7 linked regions of the Macaca mulatta genome follow. The protein of the gene in region 7 purifies or fractionates together with the protein of the main gene of each other region. This does not show direct contact. Links are inferred from orthologs where the notes say so. Each region holds a gene or a part of one and is shown on either strand. Other genes may lie near its edges.

Region 1 (4,066 bases), on a different chromosome or scaffold from region 7:
TTGTATTTTTAGGAGAGACAGGGTTTCAGCACGTTGGCCAGGACGGTCTTGATCTCTTGACCTCGTGATCCGCCCGCCTTGGCCTCCCAAAGTGCTGGGATTACAGGCATGAGCCACCACGCCCGGCCTAATTTTTATTTTTTAATAGAGATGGGGTTTTGCTGTATCGCCTAGGCTGGTCTCAAACTCCTGGGCTCAAGCGATCCACCTGTCTCAGCCTCCCACAGTGCTGGCATTAAGTGAGCCACTGTGCCTGGTCTCCAAAAACTTTTTAATTATGAATTAAGGGATGATAAACCACAACTACTTTGGGGTTTTTAACTTTATTCACTTTGAAGAGTTGGTGCAATCAAATGGATGAAATATAAGTTTAAAAGTTTGGAAATCAAAACCATTATTACTGGAGTATTTAATATACTCTGTGTATTATGTAAAACATTCAGCTTTATAATGGCTTCTTTAAGCTCACAGGAGGTATTTTAAAGCAGTAGTTTCTATAGTATATTTAAAATATGGTTGTGATTAAAATATGTTTAAAAGTTGGAGAGAGTATGTTTCTATACTTGAGATGAAATTTACTGTATTTTTGTTTTCTTTAGGTTACCTTGTACGAATGTCATTCACAAGGAGAAATCCGGTTGTTGCAATCTTACGTGGATGCTGATGTATCCTTTCCTGGGTTTTTAATATCTTTGGTCAAAGGAATTTATTTTCTTTTTTTTTCCCCCCCGAGACGGAGTCTCACTCTGTCGCCCAGGCTGGAGTGCAGTGGCCAGATCTCAGCTCACTGCAAGCTCCACCTCCCAGGTTTACACCATTCTCCTGCCTCAGCCTCCCGAGTAGCTGGGACTACAGGCACCTGCCACCTCGCCCGGCTAGTTTTTTGTATTTTTTTAGTAGAGACGGGGTTTCACCGTGTTAGCCAGGATGGTCTCGATCTCCTGACCTCGTGATCCGCCCGTCTCGGCCTCCCAAAGTGCTGGGATTACAGGCTTGAGCCACCGCGCCCGGCAGGAATTTATTTTCAATAAGTGCACCAAAACTTTTATAAATTAATCAATTCCCTAAAGTTAGTGTCCTTTCTTAACCTATTTCTTCACTATCACCCAAGAGAATCCAGGTATCTAGTTTTCCTGACCCTTAGAAATCCATTGTGGTATGTGTCAACTCAGCTAGGCAAAAAGAAAAAGAAGAAAATCCATTGTGGGATTGATGTGCTGGTTGGGTGCAGATGTCTAGAGAGATAGGAGCGTTAGAAATCTAGTAATAGAAAATGTTAGCAAAGACTGGTTAAAACCTCCTTTTTCTTTGACCTTGTCTAGAATATATCATTTCATTGTAGTTATAATGATGAACTTGGGTTGTGACTGGTAGTCATTCCAAGTATTTGATCAGTGAAGCCTAGGAAGAAAAAAAAAGTTTAGGAAAAATAAAATATATGCATATTATATATATATAATATATAAAAAATAAAATAGGAAATAACATATTGCAAAACAGGTTCATAAAGAAACAGAAAAATTTGAAAAGCCCAAGAGTTAGAGCAGTAAAAGCTAAATAATAGGATATTTCTTCCAGATCAATTTGAAAAACCTAGCAAACAAGGCAAGGCAAGGACATTCAGTTTTCTCTGAAAGATACTAAAATGTGACCTGTTGTTATATTGAGAATATCTCACAAAGAAAGAAGTGGAAAACTGAATTGTTCTTATTTAGATATTTATAGACGTATGGGGATAGAGCAGAGGTTAAACTACAGCTTGCAGGTTGGCCACCTGTTCTTGTAAAGTTTTGTTGGAACACAACCGTGCCCATTCGTTTGTATATTGTCTGCAGTTATTTTGGTACTACAACTACAGAGTTGAGTAGTTGTACAAGCAGCTAAAGAGTAAACAAAATTGAGTGGAGAGACTAATTTTGTTTGATCATTTGTTATGGATTTTAGACCTCAAATTACCATTGTATATATTTGGTTGTATAAGGAAAATTGAAAACTTTTGTGTCAAAACCTTTAGCAGTTCTTTGTAAATTTCTATTATAATTATTGACATGTTTCTTTTTCAAAAACATTGTGTTTCTTAACTGTGGAATTTCTTAGGCTGATGAAAACTTTTACACTTGTGCATGGACCTACGATAGCAATACAAGCCATCCTCTGCTGGCTGTAGCTGGATCTAGAGGCATAATTAGGATAATTAATCCTATAACAATGCAGTGTATAAAGGTGGGTTTTTCTGGTTGAATTGTAGATCTGCTTCTTTTGAATCCACAACTGTAAAAGCTTGTAATGTTAAATTTAAAACTAATGGTATGAATGTAACATTTCTGATTTGATTTGTACTTTTCTTACTGCTCTCTTTAGATGAATCTTTTGAGACCTTTGTCACATTTGGGTAATGTAAATTGAGGAATAAGTGGAGAAATGTTAATATTTGTAGTGTTTTCTTTTTAAATAATTTACCTCCTTCACCCTTGTCTTGGTTTGCCTTGAGAGGCTCTAAATGAACAATAAGAGCGAGTCCATTTTCCAAGACACCTAAACTGGAGGGGGGTTGTCAAAGGGACTTTGTAAGGAACATAAAGATGAAGCCTAGGAAGTTGATAAGAAGAGAAGTTTTTCAAATCACTTTCATCAGCTGTTTTTAACTGTGGGGACACATCAGAATCACCTGAGGATCTTTTAAACCCTACACATATTGGAGCCTCCGCTAATCCGATCAGAATATCTGCAGGTGGAGTTTTGAGCATCTTTTTTTTTTCTGCTTTTTTTTGTTGTTGTTGTTCTTAGACAGTGTCTCACTCCTTTGCCCGGGCTGGAATGTAGTGGCATGATTATAGCTCACTGCAGCCCGTCTCCTGGGCTCAAGTGATCCTCCTGCCTCAGCCTCTCAAGTAGCTGGGGCCAATTTTTAGTTTTTTTTGTGTGTGTGTATGAAGACAGAGTCTTGCTACATTGCCTTGGCTGGTCCTGAACTCCTGACCTCAAGCGATTCTGCCTTAGCTTTCCAAAGTGCTTGGATTAAAGACATGAGCCACCCACTGTGCCTGGGCCCCCTTTTTTTTTTTTTTTTCCTTTTCACTTCAAGTTTGTTGGTTGATTTTGTATGCAGCCAAGGTTGAGAACCACTACTTTAAGTGAAACTATTTTTACGTTCTCTAAAGATTTATGAAAAAGAAAGTACTGATTTTGAGATGGGAAACTTGAAATGTTTTAAATTTATTGTAGCACTATGTTGGCCATGGAAATGCTATCAATGAGCTGAAATTTCACCCAAGAGATCCAAATCTTCTCCTGTCAGTAAGTAAAGGTAAGAGAAGCAAATGTTTCTTTAGTCTGTGCAGTTTGTCAGCATTAAGATGGAGTCACTAATGTCAAGAGAACCTTGACAAATAGGAAAAGCCATGAGAAGAGAGTTCACATGGTTGTATGTCTGATCATAATAACTCACAAAAAAACACAGCCACAACCTTGCACAAAGGCCATCACAACCTTACACAGAAAATACTGCCAGTAAGTGCCTTTCCACTCTCAGACTGGCATCACCCTTGTTACTGATTTTGTGGCCAATCTTATTTCAAAACAATTATGTAATCCTTCTCATTTTTTTTCTTTAAAAACCTCTGTCTTTCCTTTACCTCTTGGAAAACACACATAATTTACTTTGGCATGTACATTCTCATTGCAGTGCTTTATTTCCATATAAACATCTTTGATTTTAGAGAGCCTGTTACTTAGGTTAACAAGTCCTGTTTTATTTCAAGTCTAGTATCTGATAGTTATTTTTCCTGATCTCTCTCCTCCCACTCTGTACCCTCCAGTAGGCCCCAGTGTGTGGACAGATAGTGTTCTAAGGGGGAAAAAGCCAAATTAAAAAAATTTTTACAACAGTAAATTTTAGTAGGAAAATCCCAGGCTATGTTAGCATATCCAAATCATTCTGTCCAATCGTGTAATAATAAATACTACATATTAAAATTCATATTGCTTTTTTGTTTTTTAGAAAAGCTTTTGTTTTATAAAGGATTCCTTATAGAATTTCTTAAAAATGCTAAGTTTTCCAGGATAA
Region 2 (4,066 bases), on a different chromosome or scaffold from region 7:
CACACTCTCAATTCAGTTGACATAAACAGTCAAATGTAGACATACTTGTTTGTTAAGTCCGGTCTTCCTGCTTGTGTTGGTTCACTTTGCGGTTGTTTATTTTGTTTTAGGTCAGAGAGGATGAAATGTCTCTGTAGACAGTCTCAGGCTAGGTGGTGCTTCCACCAGGGCCTCCCTCTGCAGGCCTGGTAACAGCAGACCTATGCTGTCTGTGTAAGAGCCTTCTCAGCAGCACACCATCGTTACCCACCAGGCTCCTCACGAAAGGAAATCTTGTCCCAACTGCCTTGGCTGTGCTTGGCAGTGTGCTCTATATAAGGAGAACAGGATGTATTTTACACTTGAGACCTGCTATCCTAGAGTACAACAACAACACTTCTAAGTGCTCTTAATATTAAGCTAATGGAAAACATACTGTTTATTCACCATCAAAGTCTGTTTTTCTTCTCTCCTGCCCTCCCCAATCATCACGAACTCCAAACCTCTAGAACACACAGAGCGTTTCCTGCACCATCTATCCTCCAGTCTGTCTCAAGATGGACAACTACATGGTTAGTTAGCTAGAGGAGGACTTGGAAAAGCTAGGCACTTACCACATAAACCATAAAATCCCCAGACTGCACAAACCAAATTTTCCTCTTCTCAAAAAAATCTCAGTGCTAGAAATGTTTTGTTGACTATCAGATTCATTTTATTAGTGTGAAAAGTCACTTGTCTTCACCAGAGTGCAACAAAGTGCAATAAAATGGTGAAGGTGGGCCAGGGTTTCTGGGTGCTGGTATTATTGGAATGCTGGTTCTTTCCTTGTCATGTAATGGCCAAAGTTATTTGGACCCCAGAAGTCTAATCTTTATCTTCCATTGCTTTGTATTGTGAGAAGCCACATCTGTACAGGGTTTCCCGTTGACAGGACTCTAGCATATGGCCCAGGTCAGTCCAGAAATGCCCAAGGTTCCCCTGTCACTGAAGGCTCTATCATAAATATAGCATGGGAAGAGGGGGGCAGAGGGACAGAGAAAGCAGAATGGGACTCTGTCCCATAAAAAACGGTTCACAAATCTACTCATTTCCTATCAGCATTTTGTTTTTTGCTTGGGTTTGTCTATAAAGTAAAGTTAATGTATGCATGTAAACCAGCCTTGCAGATAACGCCCACCCCCATGTTTCCAGGCTACCCACAATATTACCAGTTTTCCCCTTGCTGTTTACCCATCTCTTTCCACAAAACAATAATCAAACAACAAATAAACAAGCAAATGAACCAAAGACCACCTCTCCCCATTCCTAAAACAAACCCTTTCCCTTTTGTCAAAAAGACCGAAATTGAAAACAAAACAGAAACTGTGGGAAATAACTCTCCACTCTTCTTTTGTTTCAGGCCTTGGGCCTGTTAACTATCTGCAAGGCTGTTGTAATGATGTTAATCTGTTTTAATGGAATTGAAATGTGATATCCTGTGGTTTATGATGCACGTTGTTTGTAGCTGTAGTGCTTGATTTTGGGTTTCTTTCACAGATAAACTTCTGCACTGGAGGGGCCTCTCCTCCCCTCGTTCTGCACATGGAGCTCTAATCCCCACGCCCGGGATGAGTGCAGAATATGCCCCGCAGGGTATTTGTAAGTTGAGCCTTATTTCTTCTACAAATGTCCATGTGTATAGAGATGACAGTTTCTGGAAATTGCCCTTACTTTTTAAGTACTGAACGGAGTTACTTCCAAAATAGATTGTCATATGTATTATTCCATTACTCACTTGGCAGACGCTCCCCACTCCACTCAGCCCCAGAGGGACTTCTTGCCTCCCCTTTTTCTTTCCTCACTGGAGGCTGGGAGCTGAAAGTAGCTAATCCCTGTGGGTCTTCTCCCCAGGGTCTTGTCTGGCTCCATGGCTAGTGATTGAATATGTCTGTGCCTTTGGAGCCCATTTTATTACTGGACATTCACTCCTGTGGCCTCATTTAGGACTTCGGGTATAGTCCAATGCACACATCTTTAGCCAAGGCCAGAATCAAAAGCAGTCAGTTTAGGGTTATTCCAGAGTTATTCTAATACATATTCCTTATGTATTTACATGTATATTTGTACATAGTATATTTTATATATACATGATCACACATAATTTTGACTTATTTTTCTCCTAGTTTTAGAGGAAAATGCACATCATTTTAGTTAAAATGTGAAGGTTCTACTATCACCACCACCACCACTACCACCACCATCACCACCACCACCACCACCACCACCATCACCATCACCACCAGTACCATCACCACCATCACCACCACCACCACCGCCACCACCACCACTACCACCACCATCACCACCACCACCATTTACTTGTTCAAGCGAGCTTTTATAGTAAGGACCATTTTATGAAACTTAAATTTGTCCATTTATACAAATGTTTTCTGAAAGATACTGTTTTAGAAAGTAATACAGTTTGCTTCTCTGTGTAGGAAGACATGGTATGAATCATGCATGGCTAAAGGGTTGGGGGGTGGGCAGTGATTCCGCCCTAAACACAAAAAAGTAGGTTCAAGAAGAAAAGAAGTGTGACCTCTAATTTTTATTTGAAAGTAAATGAAAAATAACCTGCTGTGGAAAGAAAAGAAAAGAAAAGGAAAAGGGTCATGGAAAGAGAATAACAAAGAGCAAGATGCCAGAGTTAAGGCTCTAAGGGGGACTGTTTTTAGACGGGAGGGAAATGACACTTATCCACCTTGTAAATGGTATCTGAAGAGCAGGGCATGCACCCTGAGACCAGAGTCAAAGCCAGTTGTTTATTTTTGTTAACTCCTAGGTAATCCTAGGTAACAAAGAGTTATTGTGTGAATTTCATAAGCCCTCAGGTCCTGAGGGCTGGGTGGTTCAGGGGTTAAAAGCACCTCATCTGCCCCCCTTCCCCAAGCTGGGCCTAAGCCTGGGTTAGGTCACAGATTGCAGAGGGTTTAGGGGGTTGGACTCAACGGTTTCTAGTCCCTGCATGCTGGCTGGGTGGGGAGAGCTCTCCTGTTGCTGGGGGCATCTGGGGCCTGCATGGGGCTGTGGGAACGGAGCCACTTTTGGAGGGAAGGGAAAGAAGGCAGTTGAGCAGTTGAGAGGAGGGTGGAGTTGAGAGGCCAAGGGCTGCTGGCCAGGGAAACATAGTTCTCTGTCTTCAGCCTGGTCTTCCTGAGGGCTGGGAGTTTGATTTGACTGGTAGGAAAGTCTGAGCTTGATAAGGAACTCCTGTCCTCTCCCACCTTCCCACAAAGGGAGGGTACATAGTTTACTGGTGCCCCTGCCGGCAGGACCAGTTTAGGAGTGACCAGAACAAGGTATGTGGAAATGGGTTGTGGGGGTCCAGAAAGCTCTAGAACAAATCTGATGCCCATTCCACTTGGCGGCATTAACCTGCTGCCCCCGGCTTCTAGAGCTCATAGCACTTCCCTTTGGCCGCCCTGCTGTGTGCCAGTCACCCCTGCTCTTTCACTACAGCCTCCTTTTGGCCTGGGTTAAGGCCTGGACTGGGACCTTCCTCTGGAAGCCGTGCGGGGTGTGTAATGTGGTTAGTCATTACCCTCAGTAATTAATCACCCCTGGTAGTAATGAAAATTCACATTCATGTTGGACCTGATAGTTTACAGAGGGCTTTTATATACTTCTGTCATTTGAACCTCCCAACAATTCTTTACAGGTACTGTTTTTATGCTCATTTTACAGATAGGAATTCTAAGACTCAGAGAAATCAAATGACTATCCCAGAGTTACAAGCTGGTGAATAATAGAGCTAGGGCTCTAGTCTCAGGCCTCCTTGTTCTTCTGAATCTTGAGCCTTAGATCACATGACTTTTTCACATTGGTGACATACTAGAAATGGGGGTCATTCCTTCCTATAAAGTAAAATGAAATAAGATAAAAGTCAGTAGGTGGGCTAATAGCTGATTTTAACCCTTTTGGTGCCTCAAGTTCCTATGCTTAGGGGCCAGGTGTCAGTTTATTGCTCTAAATCAAAACAATCCCTGTAAATGCCCAATGAGGCTCTCAAATTGAGAAGTTGATTTTCATCAGAGTAAATGAAGAATAT
Region 3 (4,693 bases), on a different chromosome or scaffold from region 7:
TGGGAGGCAGAGGTTACAGTGAGCCAAGATGGCACTATTGCACTCCAGCCTGGGCGACAAGAGAGAAACTCCATCTGAAAAAAATGAAAATAAAAATGTCCGTCTTCAGGATGACTAGATAAACAAACAGTGGTATATTTACACAACAAAACAGTATACAGCAGTGAAAAGTGAATTAACTGTGAAACAGATGAATCATAGTAATATGTTGAGTGAAAAAAGCAAGTAACAAAGGACAACAAATCATATGATGCCCTCTACATAAAAGTTCAAAACTGGCCGGGCGCGGTGGCTCAAGCCTGTAATCCCAGCACTTTGGGAGGCCGAGGCTGAGGTCAGGAGTTCGAGACCAGCCTGGCCAACATGGTAGAACCCCGTCTCTACTAAAAAAATACAAAAATTAGCCAGGAGTGGTGGTTGGCCCCTTTAAATCCCAGCTACTTGGGAGGCTGAGGGAGGAGAATCACTTGAACCCGGGAGGTGGAGGTTGCAGTGAGCTGAATGCCACTGCACTCCAGCCTGGACGACAGAGCGAGACTTCATCTCAAAAAAAAAAAGTTCAAAACTAAGGAAAACCAAACAATATATTGTGTAGGCATGCAGATATGAGTAATTTTTTTTTTTTTAATACAGAATTCTGGCCCAGGCGTGGTGGCTCATGCCTGTAATTCCACTTTGGGAGGCTGAGGTGTGAGTATCGCTTGAGCCCAGGAGTTTGAGACCAGCCTGGGCAACACAGCAAGACCCATCTCTAGTTATAATTAATTAATTAATTTAAGAAAATACAGAATTCTGGCCCAGCGTGGTGACTCATTCCTGTAATCCCAGCACTTTGTGAGGCCAAGGTGGAAGGAAAGTTGAGCTCAGGAGTTCAAGGACAGCCTAGACAACAAGGTTAAACCACTTCTCTACAAAAAAATACAAAAACTTAGCCAGGCATGGTGGTGTGCTCCCATAGTCCCAGCTATGCAGGAGGCTGAAGTGGGAGGATTGCTTGATCCTAGGTGGTAGAGGCTGCAGTGAGCCAAGACTGTGCCACTACACTCCAGCCTGGGCGACAGAGCGCGAGCCTGTCTCAAAAAATAAATACATACAATACAATACAATACAACGCAGAATTCTGCACGGTGGTGGTCCCTTAAGTTTTGCAATGGGTACACGGGTGTTTATGGTATTAATTTAAAAGTTATAAATATACATGAATTTTAAGAAGAGGATCCATGCAAGGTTTAATGATAATTGTATGTCATCCATTCGCTCAACTGAAGTCGGCCTTCCCCGCCCCCTGCCAAAAGTAAACACTTTTCTAATCAGGGCCAGCCACTGGAGAAACTGAAATGAGTGGGCGGGGTGCTAACTCTATTTTCACTTTTCTCTTCCTGTTTCTTCAGAGCCTGGGAAACAAGTCAGAATTTCCAGTCTTTTCCAATTCCCACATGATTTCCTAATTCAAGACGAATTCAGAGAAAATAAGTCTTTCTCCATCTGGAGAAGACTCCGCCCCCTGGAGCATCCTCCTTCGGGGATGAGGCCTGAGGTGGGGCTGCGCCAGCCCCAGCCCCCACAAGGACGCGCCTTGGGCTTGGTCTTGGGGGAGCTACCCGCACTGTGGGGTCACATGACAGAATTAGTGGTCAGCCCTAGCTGGAGGTCCAGGGCAAACACAGGCGGGGGCAGTGGGGTTGGGGGTTGTGGCCCTGCTGATTCGAGTGTCCCCTGTGGGTTCCGGACCTTCTGAGATACAAGCGCCAGGCTTCAGAGACGAAGCTCCGGGGTTTACCCCTGGGGACCCCCTGCTCCTGCAGCCGCTGAGGGCCGGCAGTTTGGCTGCATAGTAAGCTGGCGCTTTAGCTGGAGAGGGACGAGCTCTCGGCCAGCTCGCCAGCGGGAGGGCCTCAAGTTGTCCCATCCGGGCTGCAGGCTCCGCAAAGCTCCCTGATGCACTGTCAGAGGGGGAGGTCCGGCCGCTCCCCTTCCCCTACAGCCGCATCTAGAGTGGGGTAGGTTGGACATTTTAACGTGCTTCTGAGACAGTCACCACCGAAAGGCACCTTTAGCGATGAGGAAACCGGCGTGGAGTTCAACCACCCGGCCTCTGCGGAGCAGAAGGCCCGACTGGGCCTTTCCCTGCGCGGGGCGGGCGGCCGCAGCCCCGTAGCCCGGGCTTTGCTCCAGACCCGGCCCAGAGTGACATCACCAAACTCCGCCGATCGGTGGGAGGGGGCCCTGAAATCCCCTAAAAACAAAGTGAGTAATCGGCGGACCCGCCCTCCAGGCGGGGCCGGGACCCGGGAGCTAGCCGAACCACCGGGCACACCAGCCTCTTCGTCTCCGGCGACGCGCGCACTTGGCCCCGGCCCCCGGCAGCGGCTGTGCGCGCGGCCTCTTCGTCCTCCGCGCGGCGCGCACTTGCTCCCGGCCCCTTCGCCGGGCGGCGGCGGGGCAGCGCGCAGGCGCGGCCGGATTCCGGGCAGTGACGCGACGGCGGGCGCGCGCGGCGCATTTCCGCCTCTGGCGAATGGCTCGGCTGTAGTGCACGCCGCGGGCCCAGCTGCGACCCCGGCCCCGCCCCCGGGACCCCGGCCATGGACGGTGAGGTCGCCCTCTGACCCCGCGGGGTGGCCGCGCCGGGACCGCCCCGGCTGTGGCGGGAGGCCCCGCGCCGCTTTCCGCCCCTTCCTGCGCCGACTGGCGCTGCGCAGGGAGCGGTCGGCCTGCCGGATGGTGGCGCGGGGCGGGGCAGGCGGGGAGGGGTCTGACTCAGTTTCCCCTCTGGGTGGAGGGGGGCCCTTGACTCAGCATCCTCCCTGGGTGGGGGAGCAGAGGGAGCCTTGACTCAGTTTCCCTCCACACCGTCCATGGGGGCAGCTCTGGCTTCGTTTCCCTATTAGGGGAGAACGCATCTGATTCAGTTTCCTCTCTGGATGGAGGTGGGGCGTGCCCTCCCTCAGTTTTCCTTATGAAAGTACAACAGGCCCTGATTCGGCTTCCCTCGGGAGAAGGATTCCTTACCCCGTTTTCCCTCAAGAAGCAGGTGTTTCTGGTTCCTTTCCTCCACTCCTTAGTTTCACCGCAGGTTCTAGGAAGCAGGTCCTTACTCAGTTCCCCTGGGAGGGAGCCTGGCTTCTCTTCTCTGTGGAGAGCAGATACTCCCTTGTGAGGATGGGCAGTGGGTGTGTGCTGACCCTGATCTCCCTCCCCTTTCAGAACTGTTCCCCCTCATCTTCCCGGCAGGTAAGTGGCCCCCGCAGCAGTCCGGGAGGTGTTCCCTGGGGTAGGGCAGCGGGGGCAGCTGTCTAATGGGCCTGCGGTGTCCCCTGGCAGAGCCAGCCCAGGCCTCTGGCCCTTATGTGGAGATCATTGAGCAGCCCAAGCAGCGGGGCATGCGCTTCCGCTACAAGTGCGAGGGGCGCTCCGCGGGCAGCATCCCAGGCGAGAGGAGCACAGATACCACCAAGACCCACCCCACCATCAAGGTCAGCACTGCACCAGGGTGTGCGGGGAAGGGACTGTGGAACCCCAGCCCTCTGTGTTTGGGAGTCAGGTTTGGATGTCTGGGCCTCTGTACTTTGGACAGATCAATGGCTACACAGGACCAGGGACAGTACGCATCTCCCTAGTCACCAAGGACCCTCCTCACCGGCCTCACCCCCACGAGCTTGTAGGAAAGGACTGCCGGGATGGCTTCTATGAGGCTGAGCTCTGCCCGGACCGCTGCATCCACAGGTGAGCTCCCTGCAGGCTAGGAGGCCCAGCATGAGGGAACAGGAGGCGGGCTATGAAGTAGCCGCTACAGTGTTACTCCTTTCTGGACACAGGGCAGAGTTGCTTACTTCTTGCTCTGACTCAGCTCTGCAAGTAAACTCTCTTTGTCTTGAAATGATCTATTTGTACCTCTACTCTAGCACAGATAAGAGCTCCAAGGGATATGGATGGGTCCCTAATCACTTCTGAATCCCTGACCCCTGTAGCTGGAAGGACAAGTCCCTTGGAGTCATGTCTCTTGTTTGAGAAAGAAAACCACTGAACCAACACTCTCCCCTGGAGGTGACATTGCAGTTGACAGAAACAGGCCTTAAAAAAATATACAGGCCAGGCATAGTGGCTCATGCTTATAATTCTAGCACTTCCGGAGGCCAAGGCAGGAAGATCTCTTGAGCCTGGGAGTTCAAGACTAACCAAGGCAACATAGTGAGACCCTATCTCTACAAAAAAATAAGAAATTAGCTGGGTATGGTGACTTGTGCCTATAGTCCCAGCTACTTGGGAGGCTGATGTGGGAGGATCACCTGAGCCCAGGAGGTCACCGCTATGGCAAGCTATGATTACACCACGACACTTGGGTAGCAGAGCGACACCTTGTCGTGTTTTTTTTTTTTTTTTGAGACGGAGTCTTGCTCTGTCCCCAGGCTGGAGTGCAGTGGCGCAATCTCAGCTCCCTGCAACCTCTATCTGCCGGGTTTAGACCACTCTCCTGCCTCAGCTTCCCAAGTAGCTGGGACTACAGGTGCCCGCCACCACGCCCAGCTAATTTTTTTGCGTTTTTTTTTTTAGTAGAGAAGGGGTTTCACCATGTTACTCAGGATGTTCTCAATCTCCTTACCTCATGATCTGCCTGTCTCAGCCTCCCAAAGTGCTGGGATTACAGGTGTGAGCCACCGCACCCGGCCCAACACCCTGTCTCTTAAAAATA
Region 4 (4,066 bases), on a different chromosome or scaffold from region 7:
TAGAGTGCTGTGGCATGATCTTGGCTTGCTGCAACCTCTGCCTCCCAGGTTCAAGCAATTCCCCTGCCTTAGCCTCCCGAGTAGCTGGGATTACAGACGCGTGCCCCCACGCCTGTCTAATTTTATTTTTATTTTTTTGTTTTTTTTCAGTAGAGGCGGGGTTTCACCATGTTGGCCAGGCTGGTCTCAAACTCCTGACCTCAAGTGATCCACCCACCTCAGCCTTCCAAAGTGCTGGGATTATAGGTGGGAGCCACCGTGCCCAGCCAACATTGTCTATTTTTGTACCTCATTATCATTGTTTTTTGGACTCTACACATGAAATGGTTACTCTTTCAGAAGAAAGTGTAATGGAAAGAGTACTTGGGTCCAAGTTCCACTTTTTTCCTCCTCGTTCTGACCTTGGGCAAGTTACTTACCTGTTTTCTCCTGTAGAAAGTGGAACTCTTGGCCGGGCGTGGTGGCTCACGCCTGTAATCCCAGCACTTTGAGAGGCCGAGGCGGGCGGATCACAAGGTCAGGAGATCGAGACCACGGTGAAACCCCGTCTCTACTAAAAATACAAAAAATTAGCCAGGCACGGTGGCGGGCGCCTGTAGTCCCAGCTACTCCGGAGGCTGAGGCAGGAGAATGGCGTGAACCCAGGAGGCGGAGCTTGCAATGAGCCGAGATTGCGCCACTGCACTCCAGCCTGGGGGGCAGTGCCAGACTCCGTCTCAAAAAAAAAAGAAAGTGGAACTCTTAATCACCTACGTCGTTAATTAACTTGCAAAATTAAAGTGATACACATAAAAGTACCATGTAAACTATTAAACATTTGCCATCGTAGCTGTGGACTGGATAATTGCTCAGCTAGCTTGGAACATAAATTCTGAATGTTTAGAGTAACTAGTTTACTAACTTGTGTTATTTAATTTTTTTTCCATAGTATGAGGTTGATGAGCTACGCCGAAAGAAAGAGATTACAGTGAGAGGGGGAGATGTTTGTCCTAAACCTGTGTTTGCCTTCCATCATGCTAACTTCCCACGTAAGTATTCTTCAGTCTAGAGCCTTAATTTGTTAAATTGGGTTGAATGGGAGACATGGGTATTAGGTTAAACTCTTTGAGCCAGGCTTGGGGTTTTGTTGAAAGGACAAGAGATTGTTTTATGGTTTTATGGTCATCAGTTCTTTTGTTCTTGTATTTAGACTGATAATTTTTTTTTTAAGGTTTTTATCTTTTTCTAGGGTTTTGCCCTCTGCCTTTTAGAAAACAGCAGAATGAAATTGCTTTCTAGCTGGACATGATGTGAATTTGGTAAACAATAAATGACTACCATGTTCCCATGTCCTGTTAGATGCTTTAGGGTAACGTTTTTTCAAATTTCTGAGAGAGGTAGACTATTATAGCAGCTTTTTTTTTTTTTTAAACGGAGTCACAACTTTGTCACCCAGTTTGAAGTGCAGTGGCGTGATCTCAGCTCACTGCCTCCTCCGCCTCCTGGGTTCATGCGATTCTGCTTCACCTTCCCGAGTAGCTGGGTTTACAAGCGCCCGCCACCACTCCTGGCTAATTTTTGTATTTTTAGGAGAGACAGGGTTTCACCATGTTGACCAGGCTGGTCAACTCCTGACCTCCACTGGCCTCAGCCTCCCAAAGTGCTAGGATTACAAGCGTGAGCCACCTAGCCTGGCCCAGAGCAGCTTTACGGTAAGCTAGTCGGAGATCCAGTAGATAAAGAAAACACTGGAGAGATGAAGCTGGGTAAATCTTACTTTAGTGAGCTTAAAAGTTTTTTTAAAAACTCTTTTGGTTTGTGCCCTTAAACACAATAAAATGTGTAAAATAAAATTCTCTTACAGAATATGTAATGGATGTGTTGATGGATCAGCACTTTACAGAACCAACTCCAATTCAGTGCCAGGGATTTCCGTTGGCTCTTAGTGGCCGGGATATGGTGGGCATTGCTCAGACTGGCTCTGGGAAGACGTTGGCGGTATGTATGAGCAAGAGAAGATCCTTGATATTGTGGTAACTTATTTTGCTATTCTGATTATCATGTGTTCTCAGTTCTTCATAGAAATGCTGTTCAGATAGTGTAGGTACTATTTTAGGTATTAAATATATGAAAGCATTTTATGTTCAAATTTGCATCGCCTGCTGTATGTGGCAATGGTGAGTTCTGTTTTTCACTTTCCTATTTATGCATTAATTCAGTAATTACTAAGATAGTATTAAGTATCTTAGTAAGATTGTACTTCTAAGTATAAGGTTGTCATTCTTTCCCTCCTCCACAGTATCTCCTGCCTGCGATTGTTCATATTAACCACCAGCCATACTTGGAAAGGGGAGATGGCCCAATCGTAAGTGTGTTTCAGTTTCTTTGTAATTCTAAGAAAAACTACAATTTAGCAACTATTTAGGCATGGTGGTTTACATTATCCATTTGTACTCTTCACCACACCCTCCATACATGGAAATGGTTTCATTCTCATCTTACTTGCAGTTAAATGACTTACCCAAGATCACTCAGCAGTTGAATAGCTGAGCTTACATTTGAACCAAAGTCTTACTCCTAAAGAAACTATGCATGCTATATGGGCACTTACTGTGCAGTAAAGTCAAGTGTTTTCTGGGTGGTTGTTTGTTTGTTTGTTTGTTTGTTTGTTTGGAGTTTCGCTCTTGTTGCCCAGTTGGAGTGCAATGGCGTGATCTTGGCTCACCGCAACCTCCACCTCCTGGGTTCAAGCGATTCTCCTGCCTCAGCCTCCTGAGTAGCTGGGATTACTGGCATGTGCCACCATGCCCAGCTAATTTTGTATTTTTACTAGAGATGGGTTTCTCCATGTTGGTCAGGCTGGTCTCAAACTCCTGACCTCAGGTGATCAGCCTGCCTCAGCCTCCCAAATTGCTGGAATTATGGGCATGAGCCACTGCATCCAGCTTTTTTTTTTTTTTTTTTTTTTTTGGGGGGCGACATAGTCTCACTCTGTAGTACAGTGGCAAGATCTCAGCTCACTGCAACCTCTGCCTCCCAGGTTTAAGCCATTCTCCTGCCTCAGCCTCCTGAGTAGCTGGGATTACAGTGTACACCACCACACCCGGCTAATGTTTGTATTTTTAGTAGAGATAGGGTTTCGCCATGTTGGCCAGGCTGGTCTGGAACTGTTGACTTCAGGTGATCTACCTGCCTCGGCCTCCCCAGGGTGCTGGGAGCCACCACGCCTGGCATTGAATGTGTACTTTTTTTTTTCTTTCTTTTGAGACGGAGTTTTGCTCTTGGTTGCCCACGCTGGAGTACATTGTTGGCACAATCTCAGCTCATTGCAACCTCTGCCTCCCAGGTTCAAGCGATTATCCTGTCTCAGCTTCCCAAGTAGCTGGGATTACAGGCACGTGCCACCACACGCGGCTAATTTTTGTTTTTTTAGTAGAGACGGGGTTTCACCGTGTTGGCCAGACTGGTCTCGAACTCCTGACTTCAGGTGATCCTGCCTCGGCCTCCCAAAGTAATGGGATTACAGGTGTGAGCCACCACGCCCAGCCTACTTTTTAACTTTAAGAATTAAGCTTGCATTTGTCGTATGTATTTATGAACATGTACAGTATGTCTCAAGATATTCACAAAAAGAAATAATGCAGTACTTTATATAATACATAGTATATGTCTGACAGCATTATTAATTAATATCTAATGGATCAGTATACAAAGCAAGTTTCATAATTTGGTATATGATACCTTGATTTTTGTATTATTTGGCCAGATTGTACACAGTTTTGTCAGATTACATGTAAATTTTCATTGTTTTTGCCTTATCTACCTGGTGAAGTGCTTAAACTAGAGGTCAGGAATGTGTCCTTCTGCCAGTTTTGTGACTTCTAGTTTAAGTCAGGTTGACCATCCAAAATTTCAAATTTTAGGCCAGGCACAATGGCTCACACCTGTAATCCCAGCACTTTGGGAGGCCAAAGTGGGCAGATCACGTGAGGTCAGGAATTCGAGACTAGCCTGGCCAACATGGGGAAACCCCATCTCTAGAAAAATACAATAATTAGCTGGGCGTGGTGGCGCATGCCTTCAGTCC
Region 5 (3,245 bases), on a different chromosome or scaffold from region 7:
CCTTGGCCAGTATTCCCAGGATTAGGATCACCAGTGACATCCAAGAGCAGGAGCATTTCCACAGCTCCCAGGCTTCTGTGAGAGGTGCAGACGGCCATTTGCACCCTTGTCACCCAGTATGTGCTCAAGGTGTGGCCAGGCCAGTCACTTCCCTGGCTTTCCCCATCTGGGATCAGGTTGGGTTCAGCTTCCTGCTGCCTCTTTCCCCCTCTGAGCTGTGGGCAGCCATAAGTGACAGCTCCATTCCTTCTCCCAGAGTCCGGATGCCCATCCAGCCTCCAAGCAAAGACACAGAAGAGATGGAAGCAGAGGGTGATTCCGCCACTGAGATGAATGGGGAGGAGGAAGAGAGTGAGGAGGAGCGGAGCGGCAGCCAGACAGAGTCAGAAGAGGAGAGCTCCGGTGAGCCCCTACACAAACACACACACACACACAGCCCCCACGCACAAGCATGCACATACATGCACATACAGCCCCTAGACACAAGCATACTCACACACAGCCTCTGCCACAAGCACACACACACAGCTTCTACACACAAGCATGCACATGCACACACAGCCCCTTCACACAAGCACCTACACACAGCCCCTGCACACAAGCACATGCACACGCACACACAGCCCCTACACACAAGCACATGCACATGCACACACAGCCCCTACACACAAGCACGCACGCACACACACAGCTTCTACACACAAGCATGCACACATACAGAGCCTCTACACACAAGCACGCACACACACAGAGCCTCTACACACAAGCACGCACACACACACAGCCCCTTCACACAAGCACGCATGCGCACACACACAGCCTCTACACACGAGCACCCACACACACACACAGCCTCTACACACGAGCACACACGCACACAGCCCCTTCACACGAGCATGCACACACACACACATAGCCCCTACACACGAGCACACATGCACACACACAGCCCCTACACACGAGCACACGTGCACACACACACAGCCCCTACACACAAGCACGCATACACACACACAGCCCCTACACACGAGCACACATGCACACACAGCCCCTACACACGAGCACACATGCACACACAGCCCCTACACACGAGCACACATGCACACACAGCCCCTACACACGAGCACACATGCACACACAGCCCCTACACACGAGCACACATGCACACACAGCCCCTACACACGAGCACGCATGCACACACACAGCCCCTACACACAAGCACGTGCGCACACACAGCCCCTACACACAAGCACACACACACACACACACAGCCCCTACACACAAGCATGCATACAAACACACAGCCCCTTCACACAAGGACGCATGCACACACACACACATGAAGGACGCACATGCACATATGTGGGTACCCACCACCCCTCCCCAGAGCTAGCCCTTACTGGCGTCTTGTCCCAGAGATGGACGATGAGGACTATGAGCGGCGCCGCAGCGAGTGTGTCAGTGAGATGCTGGACCTAGAAAAGCAGTTCTCGGAGCTAAAGGAGAAGTGAGCATGGGGACACCTTGGGCTGGGTCTGCGAGGAGCTGGGATGAGGAGGTGGTGGGCCTGGTACTGGGCAGGCGTGGTTGGTGCCCAGGAAGTGCACGCCTAACACAGGGCTTGCTGTGGAATGGGTGCTGGGTACGTGTTTGCCCAAGAGCAATAGGTGAGCAAATGGGTGCACGGCTGCCTTTTTTACCACCCAGGTTGTTCAGGGAACGACTGAGTCAGCTGCGGTTGCGGCTGGAGGAAGTGGGGGCTGAGAGAGCCCCTGAATACACGGAGCCCCTTGGGGGGCTGCAGCAGAGCCTCAAGATTCGCATTCAGGTGGCAGGTCTGTGGGTGGTTCTGTGCCTTTTTCCCCTCCCAGAACCCATGGCACCCTGTCCCCTTCCTCTCTTGTTCCTCCCTGGCCTCACCCTTTGCTTTCAGCCCTCCTGTGTGGGCACCAGGCTCCCCAGCCAAGCAGGGCCCCTCCTTCCTTTCTCTGCAGGGATCTACAAGGGGTTCTGTCTGGATGTGATCAGGAATAAGTACGAATGTGAGCTGCAGGGAGCCAAACAGCACCTGGAGGTGGGCCTGATTGGGCACACTGGGGACAAGGCGGGGCGCAAGGCCTGAAGTGAGCTCTCCCCATCCGTCCTGCTGAGCTATTGCCCCCTCTTCCAGAGTGAGAAGCTGCTGCTCTATGACACACTGCAGGGGGAGCTGCAGGAGCGGATCCAGAGGCTGGAGGAGGACCGCCAGAGCCTGGACCTCAGCTCTGGTGAGCGCGAGAGCCCGGGCACCCCGGCCCTGGGCTTGGCTCTGTCAACGCCCACCCCTTTCTAGACTTCAGATGTCCTGAAGTCAAGGGGACAGTCAGAGGACCTGCCTCTTGGGGTCAGTGTGAGGACTGAAGGAAACCAGGCCTGGAAAGGGCCTGGCACACAGTAGGGGCTCGGGCAGAGTGGGTCTCCCTGCCCTCTTCTGCCCCTGCTCTTTCCAAAACAGGTATCAGTGTGACATGCAGTCCCATGCAATAGCTCTAGTCCCCTCCACGTTCATAGTACCTGTGTTCATGTGGAGTCCTGGGGTGGCAGGAATTGTCATCATCCCACTGTCCACTAAACAGATGAGGCTCACAGAAGTGCAGCGGCCTCTTCCCGGGGTTGCGCAGCTGTGCGGGCAGGACCTGAACAGCCCTAAGGGGCTTCCTACCCCAAGCCCAGGGTTGTGATGGGGCAGGGGATATGAGGCCAGGCTGGCCCATGGTGGGGGCAGAGGCTACAGAAGAGAGAGTGTCCTGTGGGCCAGCACCCCAGTTCTAACTCTGGGTCTGGGGGCAGAATGGTGGGACGACAAACTGCACGCCAGAGGCAGCTCCAGGTCTTGGGACTCCCTGCCGCCCAGCAAGAGGAAGAAGGCACCTCTGGTTTCTGGTATCCTTTCACCCAAGGTGGCCTAAAAGGTGGCAGGATGTTAGGGTCACCTCCAGACCTGGGGGAGAGGTTTGGAGGGGACATGGAGGACAGTCGCACTAGATGCACTTGTGGTTGCTTGGTGTCATGTGACCATGTCCAGGCAAATCCAGCTGTCAGCAATTTCTTACAGGGTCTTGGGTCTCTCTGGGCTATGTGGACCCTAGGAAAACAGAAACGGGCTAGGCTCAGTGGCTCACATCTATAGTCCCAGCACTTTGGGAGGCCAAGGCAGGTAGATTGCTTGAGCCCAGGAGTTCATTTCGAGACCACCTTGGGCAACA
Region 6 (4,590 bases), on a different chromosome or scaffold from region 7:
GGCTGCTTCCACCTGTCGGCTACCCTTGGAGTTCGCAATTCGCTGCTGTGGTTTCGCGGCTCGAAGCCATCGTTGGAGTGAGGCCCACCTGCTGCCAGAGCTCGTTCCTGGCCGTTTCCGCTGGATTGCAGAGGGAGGACAGAGTTAGACCTAGGAGTGGGTTCCCTGGGCCTGTCCCTTGGGATCTTAGCTCTCCGGGAGGAGGATTCTACTTCTTCGGGAGAGCGGTAACAACGTAATCCCGTCCCCTCCTGGCGCCGAGAGAGCGCCCCCCAAAGTAAGGTCAGCGTCAGGCCCACGCCCTATTTGGTGAATAAATAAAAGCAAACTAGGAATTGAAAGCATTTTGTCTCACTGTGCGTTCGAGGCACTGTTACCTACACAGAGAGGGCACAGGGACTATTAACACTCCTGGCTAAGGAGAAGGTGAACAGCCGTTATGTCCCCAACTACGGAAGTTTTATCCCTTCTCTGAGTGTGGCATGTTCCAAAGGTTAATTTATGCTGTGGCCTGTTTTGGTCCTTTTCTCTTCTTTCTCAGTTCTGAGGATGCCTACAGATCCACCCGGGAGATCGTGAGTACCTTGTGCCTCACGCTCCGCCTTCCGGAGGCTTGCCAGGGCGGTGGCTGTTAGGGCCCGCCTCTCTTTTGGTTATCTCCGCCCTCTTAGGCACATTCAGCTCTAGGGAGTGCGCTGGCAACCCTTGGGGTTATGGGTTATTTCTCTGCCTAGGTCTCCAGACCTTAGTTCTGTACTGTACTTGACTGAAAGGAGTTGCCAGCTGCTCCGGATATTTGTGTTTACAAGGACGCAGTGTGTAGAATGTAAACTGCAAAGATAACTGGATAGGGAGGATGAGTTCGCATTCTCATTTTTTTTGTAAGAGAGTCCGCCGGGGTGGACTGCCTTTCCTTCAAATCCTAGGATGTGGAGTCTCCGCTGATGAGCTCCGCTCCCCCTCCTGTCTCGGGCCCTGGAACTCCGAGCTTCAGTCTCTAGTGTAAACATTCCACAAAAGGACTGCTAAGGTTCAGCCTCCTCGCGCAGAGCGGAATTAAGTTCCTTCCTAGACGGGCGCCCTGGCCAATGGAGGGTCCTACCAGTGCCAAGATAGCCAATCCAACTCTTGGGGCGGGGCCTGGCCCGGCAGTGCAGTAGGCGGAGCCTGTTTCACTTACAGACATTTTACCCCACATCGGTTACTTACCTTACTGGGGCGGTGGGAGAGCCAGGGGTAGCCTTCCAATGCGATGACCGGCGGAGGCGGGAGCCAACTTGTTAGGCCTGTGGCTGAGACGCTGCGGGGCGGGTTATGTGGTGTCCTCCAATGAGACAGGAAGAGCTTCCCCGCTTCCTCCAATAGCGTTGTGGCTCGGGGGTGGGCTTCAGCAGTCTGTCTCCAATAGGCGGGGTTGAGTTAGGGACGCTCCCCGCCAATAGGGGCGTGGAGAAGGTGAGCGGCTCCCTCTCCCCTCCCAGTCGAGGGGGAAGGGGCGGGAAGTCATAAGGCAGGGCTCGGTGATTGGCTCAGTCTTTGACGGGCGGGTATTGCGTCCTGTGTTGGAACGAAGCTGAGTCTTCCCCCTGCGGGGCGGGGTCGGGGGAGTGGGCGGGATTTCCCGGGTAACAGAGAAGCGGCCGCGGCGGTAGAGGCGGCGGAGACGGTTTCTCCATCTTCCCCCCTCCCCTTCCCCCCTCGGAGTTTCCCTCCCTCCCTCCCTCCCTCCTTCCCAGTCTGGGCACCGGGGCCTGTGACCGCTTGGTTAGCGGAGAGGTAGCTGGCAGTCCGCTTCGGCGGGCCTGTGCCCCGCGCCGTTCTCAGGGCCTCCCTGCTGAGCTCGCGGCTCACGCCGAGAGGGACACGCAGTGACGAGCGGCCGAAGCAGCTTTGCGGTGAGAGCACGCTGGGCCGGGGGCCGGGCGGGAGCCTAGTGGCGGGTAACGCCGGACTCGAGGGTGTGTATTTTTAGGGGGGGCTGACCTCCTCGGCTTCCCGTAGAGCAGACGGGCGGGAGGTGTGTGGCTGTGTGAGGGGGGTGGGGGGCGGAGCAGGGTAGCTCTCCTCGCGGGAGGGGGAGGAGAGCGTAGTCCCGGTGCGCGCGGAGGGGGGCGGGCTCTCGCGCCGCCGCTCAGAGGCGGGGCCGGCGCGCGCGTGCGATTGTGGAGAAAGGGGCGGGGCCGGCTTCTCGCTGAGTGCTGTTTGCGGCCGACCACCCCCTCTCCTCCTCCTGGGGTGGGCGGGGCCTCGGGCTGGCGGCCGCGCTCTTGCCTGCTGGGGTCGGGGACGGGTAGGGGGGTCTCCCGCGTGTAGATTCAGGGCGCGGCAGGGAGGGGGCGTGAAGTCTGAGTTTCTCCGCCTTCTCGGGATCCGGTTGGCCGGAGGGGCCGTACTGATCCGTGATGCCACTCCCCTTGGCCGTCCCCCGCCTCCCACCCCGGCCCTGGGTTTCCGCCTCCTTGGCAATGAGGCGGTGCTAGGGAAAGCCCGCTGTCGGGTCTGGCTGGGAGTCTCGCCGCCTAGGTCTGCCCCGCCTTATGTCTCCGTGGGGAGGGAGGGGCTCCCGCCGACTGAGAGCTGCGGAGGTGTCAGGACTTACTCTTGTGGCTCGGTCATGCCTTCTGCCTGGGGCACAAGGGCCCTATGCCGGAGCTGCTTTCTCTGTTTGCTCCATGCAGCGTGTCTGGCACCGTGCAGCTGAGAGAGTGGGAGCATGGTCACCCCCACCACCCTCCTGGTTGTATCTATTGGGGCGAAGTGCCTAAGGTCCTCTTGTAGGAGCGTGTGTGGCTGGTGCTGGAACCCTGTTTCCGCGGTGGTGATGGTCGGGGAGGGGCAGGGAGTCATCAGAGACTAGAAATGTGGCGGAGAGAAAACCTTTCTGGGGTTCCCTCGATGTTCAGTTACCGTGGCTGTATGGGGCGGGGCTTCCTTTGAGCCAATGGGTGGTGGGTAGTAGACTTGGCGTCTGTTTCGGTGCGTTAGGACTTTAACCAAGTTAGCCTTGAAAAGGCAGTGGAAGCTCCTCCTCTTTACAAGGCTGAGATTTATAACAGGAAAGTTGGGATTTACATTTTAATCTCAAAACTGGTCTGTTTATAAAATAGGTTTTTTTTTTTTTTAAGAAAAATTCAGACTTTGAATAAAATATTCTGATATCTCTGACGCTTGTAGTTTTGAATGCTTTCATTGTGCAGATGGTTCTACTATATAAACTTAGTTTCCTGGCCGGGTGCGGTGGCTCATGTCTGTAATCCCAGCACTTTGGAAGGCTGAGGCGGGCCGATCGCTTGAGGTCAGGAGTTCGAGACCAGCCAGGCTTACATGGCGAAACCCCATTTCTACTAAAAATACAAAAATTAGCTGGGCATGGTGGCAAGAGTCTGTAATCCCAGCTACTGGGGAGGCTGAGGCAGGAGAAATCACTTGAACCCGGGAGGCGAGGTTGCAGTGAGCCGAGATCGGGCCGTTGCACTGTAGCCTGGGCGACAGGAGCGAAATTCCGTCTCAACAAACAGAAAAAATTTGGTTTCCCAAAGAATTTGCTATTGAGGTAACTATAGGTGAGAAGTCTTTTCTTTCTGGTTTTATGTAATTATGTTCGATCATCTAGACCACTTTCTATTTATAGTATACATAGTACAGTGTTCTTGCCCTTTATATTTCAGAGTAGGGTGAAGTTGTGGATCAGGGTAGCCTTCTGTATGTGACTTCTGTAGCGTTGCTCTCCAGCCTGCATTGGAGAGTTGCCTTAGGACATTTCAAATCTAACCTATAGCAGAACCACATTAGATGAGGTTTTTGCTTTCACTTGATACATTATCTTTTCCTATTGAGAGAAATTATTTCAATATTTTTCACATTTTTCATGAGAAAAATAAACATGGAACCAATGTTTATTTATGCAGTAATGTCTAAATGAGCCTGAATTTAGACATTGGTTTAAATGTCTAATTATCTGACATTAGATATTGTTAGATAATTAGTTAATTATCTGAAGTGAAATTCTAGATTTGTGCTTTGGTTAGTAGGGCCTGAGTGGTGCCCTGTGCTGTGTTTATGTGAAAAGGGTAGGTTCTATCTTGTCTGCCAAGGAAGTTGCAAAAGCAACAGCATTTTAGTTTAGCTAATGATGGCTGTAATAGAATTGATGGGGAGACAAAAAATCCAGGTGTTTTTTTCCTGATGCCATAAACAGATAGTGGAGAACTATTGACCACTGAGGAAAATTTGGTCTACATATAGTAGTTCCCATGATTTGCAGTGCTGTATACTGGGGAACACAGAAGAGTCTTTAAGGATTCAAGTAAGAACTTGGTTTTGCTGTATTAGGAGCGGTTTCATAAATGCTTCATAATCTCCAGATAATTATTTTATATACTATAATGTTGCTCAGAGATAAATAGCTTAGAAAGATTGGCACTTCGTAATTAAGAGGGTTTTAATAATTTACATACAGAGAAAGACTTTTTTTCTTTTTTAAGGAAGGAGGTGTGTAGTAATTTGACAAGATTCCTGGCAAAGTATAATTCTTTTTACATCTTCAGTGTAAGCAGACAAGACACTGGAGAGCTGTGCATGGCAGATGTT
Region 7 (4,066 bases):
CACATTTAAAGGTAAAGGATAACAGATGCCTAATGATTTTAAAATTTGAATGGAATGAATGGTTTACTTAATATTGAAAACTTTGCTTTCAAGTATGAAGAAATGGCTCGAAAACACATAATAAAAATTGGGGGAATTTCTTTTTCTTTTAAAAATGCTGAAACTCTGAAGGAAAAAAGTGTGTTTTTCTAATGGGGATAGGAATAATATCATTACTTAAAAAGTAGCATTTTATTTCAGAGCTGAGAGGTGAAGTAGACCAAAAAAAGTACCAATACCAAATATGTTAAGACAGTCTATGCCCTACATGTACCATTATGCTACAATCTAACCATCATATTAAGTGTAATGAGAAGTTGCAAAATCAAACAGATGTTTAGTTATTTGGTTCACCCTACTTCAGATAAATGAGATGTCTTATTAATTGCCAAATATACTGAAGTGGCTAGCTTTTGATAACTTTCAATCATGTATGTATATCCAGCCATACAAACTGAAACTGCTGACACCCAAATCAGGTTTTGAGATCAGGAAGGTAAATCTCTGAAAGTGGCAAAAATGACAATAATAATAGTGTGCTCGTGAACATGACTTAACAGTGAAGTTCTTAGGCCACTAAAACCTTCAATTTGAAGTATCATTTTGACAAACTGGAAAAATAAAGGCATTATCTTACTAGAAATTCTCTTGTCTGGATCTTCTCCATCTTCATCTCCACTGTCTTCATGAACAGCATCTTCTGGAATAGCTTGCATCTGGACACCAGGTGCATGAGGTAACATGCGCAAATTTTCAAATAAACGCTGTCTAAATTACACACGCAAAGTTTATTAGACAAAATTCAATTTCTTTGCAGTTCTTACATGCAAGAGAAAATATTTAGCAAAAAATTTCATCTTTGGTCTAGCTAAGCCTATAAATTAAAAGGTCTCTCTCTGTTGCCCAGACTAGAGTGCAGTGGCAAGATCATAGCTCACTGCAGCCTCAAACTCCTCACTGTAGCCTCAAACTCCTGGCAATCCTCCTGCCTCAGCCTCTGCATTAGGACAACAACTGTACGCCACCATACCTGGCAAATTTTTAAATTTTTTGCAGACAAGGTCTCACTATACTGCCCAGGCTGGTCACAAACTCCTGGTCTAAAGCTATCCTCCCATCTTTGACTTCCAAAGCATTAAGGTTTATAAGCATGAGCCACCTTGACTGACCAAGGAGGCATTATTTTAGTCCCCCATTTCAATGAGGGGAAAACACAAGCACAAAGGCAGGTGAACTTATCAAACATCATACAGCTTGTTTGTGGTACAGAGGTGACTCAAACCCATGCTATGTACTATAATGTCTCTACTTTGCTTGTGGAGACAAAGCCTTAACAAAATGTTTCAGACAATGAAAATAACTTATAGTGTGCCTTGCAATTTTCAAATACTTTTCAACTAATAAAAAAATATTATTTCCATTAACTGAAGAAATTAACTGGCTGAACACGGTGGCTCATGCCGGTAAGCTCAGCACTTTTGAGGCAGAGGTGACAGGATCACATGAAGCCAGAAGTTCGAGACACCCATCCTGACAAAAAAATTTTAAATTAAAAAAAATAATAATAATAATAATCAGTAACTTAATGTTTCAAATCCTTTAGAAAGAAACAAGAGAAATGTCTAATAAAGTTAAAAGGACCCATCATACTTGGCCCTCTAAAGCATCCTAAATCTTTGTCAAGATAAAATGTTTATCAAAACAATTCAACGATTTCTTACTTTATCTTTTCCATATATTCTGGAGTGTTCTGGTTTGTCATGTTTGAAGGACTAATATGCAGTTTGAAGTCTGGTCCAAAATACTCAAAGTAATCATTATACGGCAACTCTATTGAAAACAATAAAATAGAGTTACACATTACAAGCTGAGTTTTCACAAAAATCCATGCACAGAATCCAGATTTAGGTGGTGAAATAGTTCCAAAGAAAAGGTTTAAAAGTGAACATAAAGTGAATGTTCTCCTATTTATAAAGAATGGCACTTACTCTAATCATCCATCCATCCATTTTGATATACAGTCTCTGACTTTCAACGGCTTGACTTACAGTTTTCTGGCTTTTTTGTCACAACTTCAATGTCTTGTATTCAATAAATTACATGAGATATTCAACATTTTTTTTTAACAAAACAGGCTCAGTATTAGATTATTTTGTCCAACTGTAGCCTAACCTAACTGTTCTGAGCATGTTCAAAGTAGGCTGGGCTAAGTCATGTATGGTAGGTTAGGTGTGTTGTATCAATCTTCTACTTATCATACTTTCAACTTATGATGGGTTTATCAGGACCTAATTGCAACATAAGTGGAGGAGCATCTGTACTGACAGTTCATACAATAAAGATATCATAATAAGAACACTTACCATTGGGAATCTCACAATCAAGGGCAACTGCAGTCTCATATGTCCAACATCGAGCAACATTACGGATTGTGTATCCACCTCCACCAAGCATCAGTAATGGTAAGTTAAAAGTTTTTACAACTTCTACACATTTAGCATGACCTAAGACAAGAAGATTTGGGTAACAACAAAATCTGCATACTGCAACAGTTTGAAAAATAAATTTTAAAAAGATAGTAAGTGCAAATGTTATTCAACCAAAATGGTTTTCCAAATATTTAAAAAACAAATAAAAATGTAAAAAAGTTCGAGTCTAAAACTCCTTTCCAAACACGTTTCACACAATAATACATTAAAAAATTAAGATTAACTAGCTATTTAAAAGTTTTTAAACACTATTTTACACTTTTTAAAACACTTTTATTTAAACACTTTTTAAAAGTGTCCCTGATGGAAGTCAAGTACACAATTATATTAAGACTATAATATGAACATACACCTATTTTATTAACACAGAAAGATGTTCATGTAGGGTTAACATGGTGAAATTAATCAGGTTACAATAAAACATTATGTATAATCTAAATTAATTTTTATTACCACTTCTTTCCTTATGGACATGTGTAAAATAATTACGGAAAGCTAAACAACATAGTTTAACCCTGAGTTAACTTCAGGTAGTGGTACTGAGTAATTTTCATAACTTAAGAGTTAAAAATATCTATTACTATTTTCAAAAACTTCTTCAACTTCTATGTGTAAAAATTTAAATATAATATTAATAGTAAACCTAACATAAAAGTAAATATTTTCTGTGGATACATGTCTTAATTCAATAATCATTTATAAGTTACCAGTAAGTTCTCCTTGAGGAATATTACCAGTTAGGCACATAACTCAATCTTTAAAGAAGAAAATCGTTTTTCTATATTTCTTTCCAATTCAGAGTTAATTTTACAAAGTTTATCCGTTCTCTTCATGTAACTGTATACTGTGGGAATTTTCATTAAGCATTCTTCAATAGTTGCCCTATGTGATTTACATAATTCTAGCACCCAATTTTTATTACTGCTACTAGAAAAGTTTCTTATAACAGATAAAAACCATTTGGATATTTTTAAAGACAAAACAAACATACAAAAAGTTAACTTACAGGCTTCCAAGTCAAGACAGCTGGCTAAACAAAGAGATGTTTACTTTTCCTTCATTCCAAAACTCGACAAAGATGACTGGAAAGGGATTTTTTTAAAGGCCAAAATTCAGAAAAATGAAGAATGGGAGAGAATACAAGAGCAAGAACATAGCTGATGGGAGCAAGGAGATGGACAAGAGATAACTAACTTCAGCAGATCTGAAAAAGCTGAATCAGGCCGGGCGCGGTGGCTCACGCCTGTAATCCCAGCACTTTGGGAGGCCGAGGCGGGCAGATCACAAGGTCAGGAGATCGAGACCACGGTGAAACCCCGTCTGTACTAAAAATACAAAAAATTAGCCGGGCGCGGTGGCGGGCGCCTGTAGTCCCAGCTACTCAGGAGGCTGAGGCAGGAGAATGGCGTAAACCCAGGAGGCGGAGCTTGCAGTGAGCCGAGATCGCGCCACTGCACTCCAGCCTGGGCGACAGAGCGAGACTCCGTCTCAAAAAAAAAAAAAAAAAAAAGAAAAAGCTGAATCAAAGCTGGCAGTAG

Evidence for each region.
Region 1: the proteins of HDAC2 (region 7) and EED purify together in Homo sapiens (affinity purification with mass spectrometry; 5 studies listed by BioGRID and IntAct, with this or other methods). This does not show direct contact. The link is inferred for Macaca mulatta from reciprocal best matches to the Homo sapiens genes HDAC2 and EED.
Region 2: the proteins of HDAC2 (region 7) and BCL11A purify together in Homo sapiens (affinity purification with mass spectrometry; 4 studies listed by BioGRID and IntAct, with this or other methods). This does not show direct contact. The link is inferred for Macaca mulatta from reciprocal best matches to the Homo sapiens genes HDAC2 and BCL11A.
Region 3: the proteins of HDAC2 (region 7) and RELA purify together in Homo sapiens (affinity purification with western blotting; 8 studies listed by BioGRID). This does not show direct contact. The link is inferred for Macaca mulatta from reciprocal best matches to the Homo sapiens genes HDAC2 and RELA.
Region 4: the proteins of HDAC2 (region 7) and DDX17 purify together in Homo sapiens (affinity purification with western blotting; 3 studies listed by BioGRID, with this or other methods). This does not show direct contact. The link is inferred for Macaca mulatta from reciprocal best matches to the Homo sapiens genes HDAC2 and DDX17.
Region 5: the proteins of HDAC2 (region 7) and BRMS1 purify together in Homo sapiens (co-immunoprecipitation; 4 studies listed by BioGRID and IntAct, with this or other methods). This does not show direct contact. The link is inferred for Macaca mulatta from reciprocal best matches to the Homo sapiens genes HDAC2 and BRMS1.
Region 6: the proteins of HDAC2 (region 7) and SIN3A purify together in Homo sapiens (affinity purification with western blotting; 24 studies listed by BioGRID and IntAct, with this or other methods). This does not show direct contact. The link is inferred for Macaca mulatta from reciprocal best matches to the Homo sapiens genes HDAC2 and SIN3A.

The regions. Positions count from the first base shown.
Region 1 is NC_133419.1:86,850,523-86,854,588, forward strand, and holds part of EED (polycomb protein EED), read left to right. Parts: intron 1-599; coding exon 600-665; intron 666-2,097; coding exon 2,098-2,223; intron 2,224-3,225; coding exon 3,226-3,307; intron 3,308-4,066. UniProt on the Homo sapiens protein: Polycomb group (PcG) protein. Component of the PRC2/EED-EZH2 complex, which methylates 'Lys-9' and 'Lys-27' of histone H3, leading to transcriptional repression of the affected target gene.
Region 2 is NC_133418.1:64,324,450-64,328,515, forward strand, and holds part of BCL11A (BCL11 transcription factor A), read left to right. Parts: intron 1-1,515; coding exon 1,516-1,617; intron 1,618-4,066. UniProt on the Homo sapiens protein: Transcription factor. Associated with the BAF SWI/SNF chromatin remodeling complex. Binds to the 5'-TGACCA-3' sequence motif in regulatory regions of target genes, including a distal promoter of the HBG1 hemoglobin subunit gamma-1 gene.
Region 3 is NC_133419.1:8,726,671-8,731,363, forward strand, and holds the start of RELA (transcription factor p65), read left to right. Parts: upstream 1-1,609; 5' UTR 1,610-1,938; coding exon 1,939-2,000; exon of another isoform or gene 2,001-2,247; intron 2,248-2,472; exon of another isoform or gene 2,473-2,585; coding exon of another isoform or gene 2,586-2,592; exon of another isoform or gene 2,593-2,618; intron 2,619-3,065; exon of another isoform or gene 3,066-3,207; coding exon of another isoform or gene 3,208-3,234; intron 3,235-3,292; coding exon 3,293-3,476; intron 3,477-3,544; coding exon of another isoform or gene 3,545-3,577; coding exon 3,578-3,726; intron 3,727-4,693. UniProt on the Homo sapiens protein: NF-kappa-B is a pleiotropic transcription factor present in almost all cell types and is the endpoint of a series of signal transduction events that are initiated by a vast array of stimuli related to many biological processes such as inflammation, immunity, differentiation, cell growth, tumorigenesis and apoptosis.
Region 4 is NC_133415.1:13,035,353-13,039,418, forward strand, and holds part of DDX17 (probable ATP-dependent RNA helicase DDX17 precursor), read left to right. Parts: intron 1-928; coding exon 929-1,028; intron 1,029-1,843; coding exon 1,844-1,977; intron 1,978-2,278; coding exon 2,279-2,344; intron 2,345-4,066. UniProt on the Homo sapiens protein: As an RNA helicase, unwinds RNA and alters RNA structures through ATP binding and hydrolysis.
Region 5 is NC_133419.1:8,082,719-8,085,963, forward strand, and holds part of BRMS1 (breast cancer metastasis-suppressor 1), read left to right. Parts: intron 1-256; 5' UTR 257-263; coding exon 264-402; intron 403-1,416; coding exon 1,417-1,507; intron 1,508-1,707; coding exon 1,708-1,835; intron 1,836-1,994; coding exon 1,995-2,074; intron 2,075-2,170; coding exon 2,171-2,267; intron 2,268-2,829; coding exon 2,830-2,922; intron 2,923-3,245. UniProt on the Homo sapiens protein: Transcriptional repressor. Down-regulates transcription activation by NF-kappa-B by promoting the deacetylation of RELA at 'Lys-310'. Promotes HDAC1 binding to promoter regions.
Region 6 is NC_133412.1:53,492,523-53,497,112, reverse strand, and holds the start of SIN3A (paired amphipathic helix protein Sin3a), read left to right. Parts: upstream 1-1,662; 5' UTR 1,663-1,895; exon of another isoform or gene 1,896-1,958; intron 1,959-4,590. UniProt on the Homo sapiens protein: Acts as a transcriptional repressor. Corepressor for REST. Interacts with MXI1 to repress MYC responsive genes and antagonize MYC oncogenic activities. Also interacts with MXD1-MAX heterodimers to repress transcription by tethering SIN3A to DNA.
Region 7 is NC_133409.1:19,012,561-19,016,626, forward strand, and holds part of HDAC2 (histone deacetylase 2), read right to left. Parts: intron 2,544-4,066; coding exon 2,403-2,543; intron 1,870-2,402; coding exon 1,761-1,869; intron 808-1,760; coding exon 677-807; intron 1-676. UniProt on the Homo sapiens protein: Histone deacetylase that catalyzes the deacetylation of lysine residues on the N-terminal part of the core histones (H2A, H2B, H3 and H4).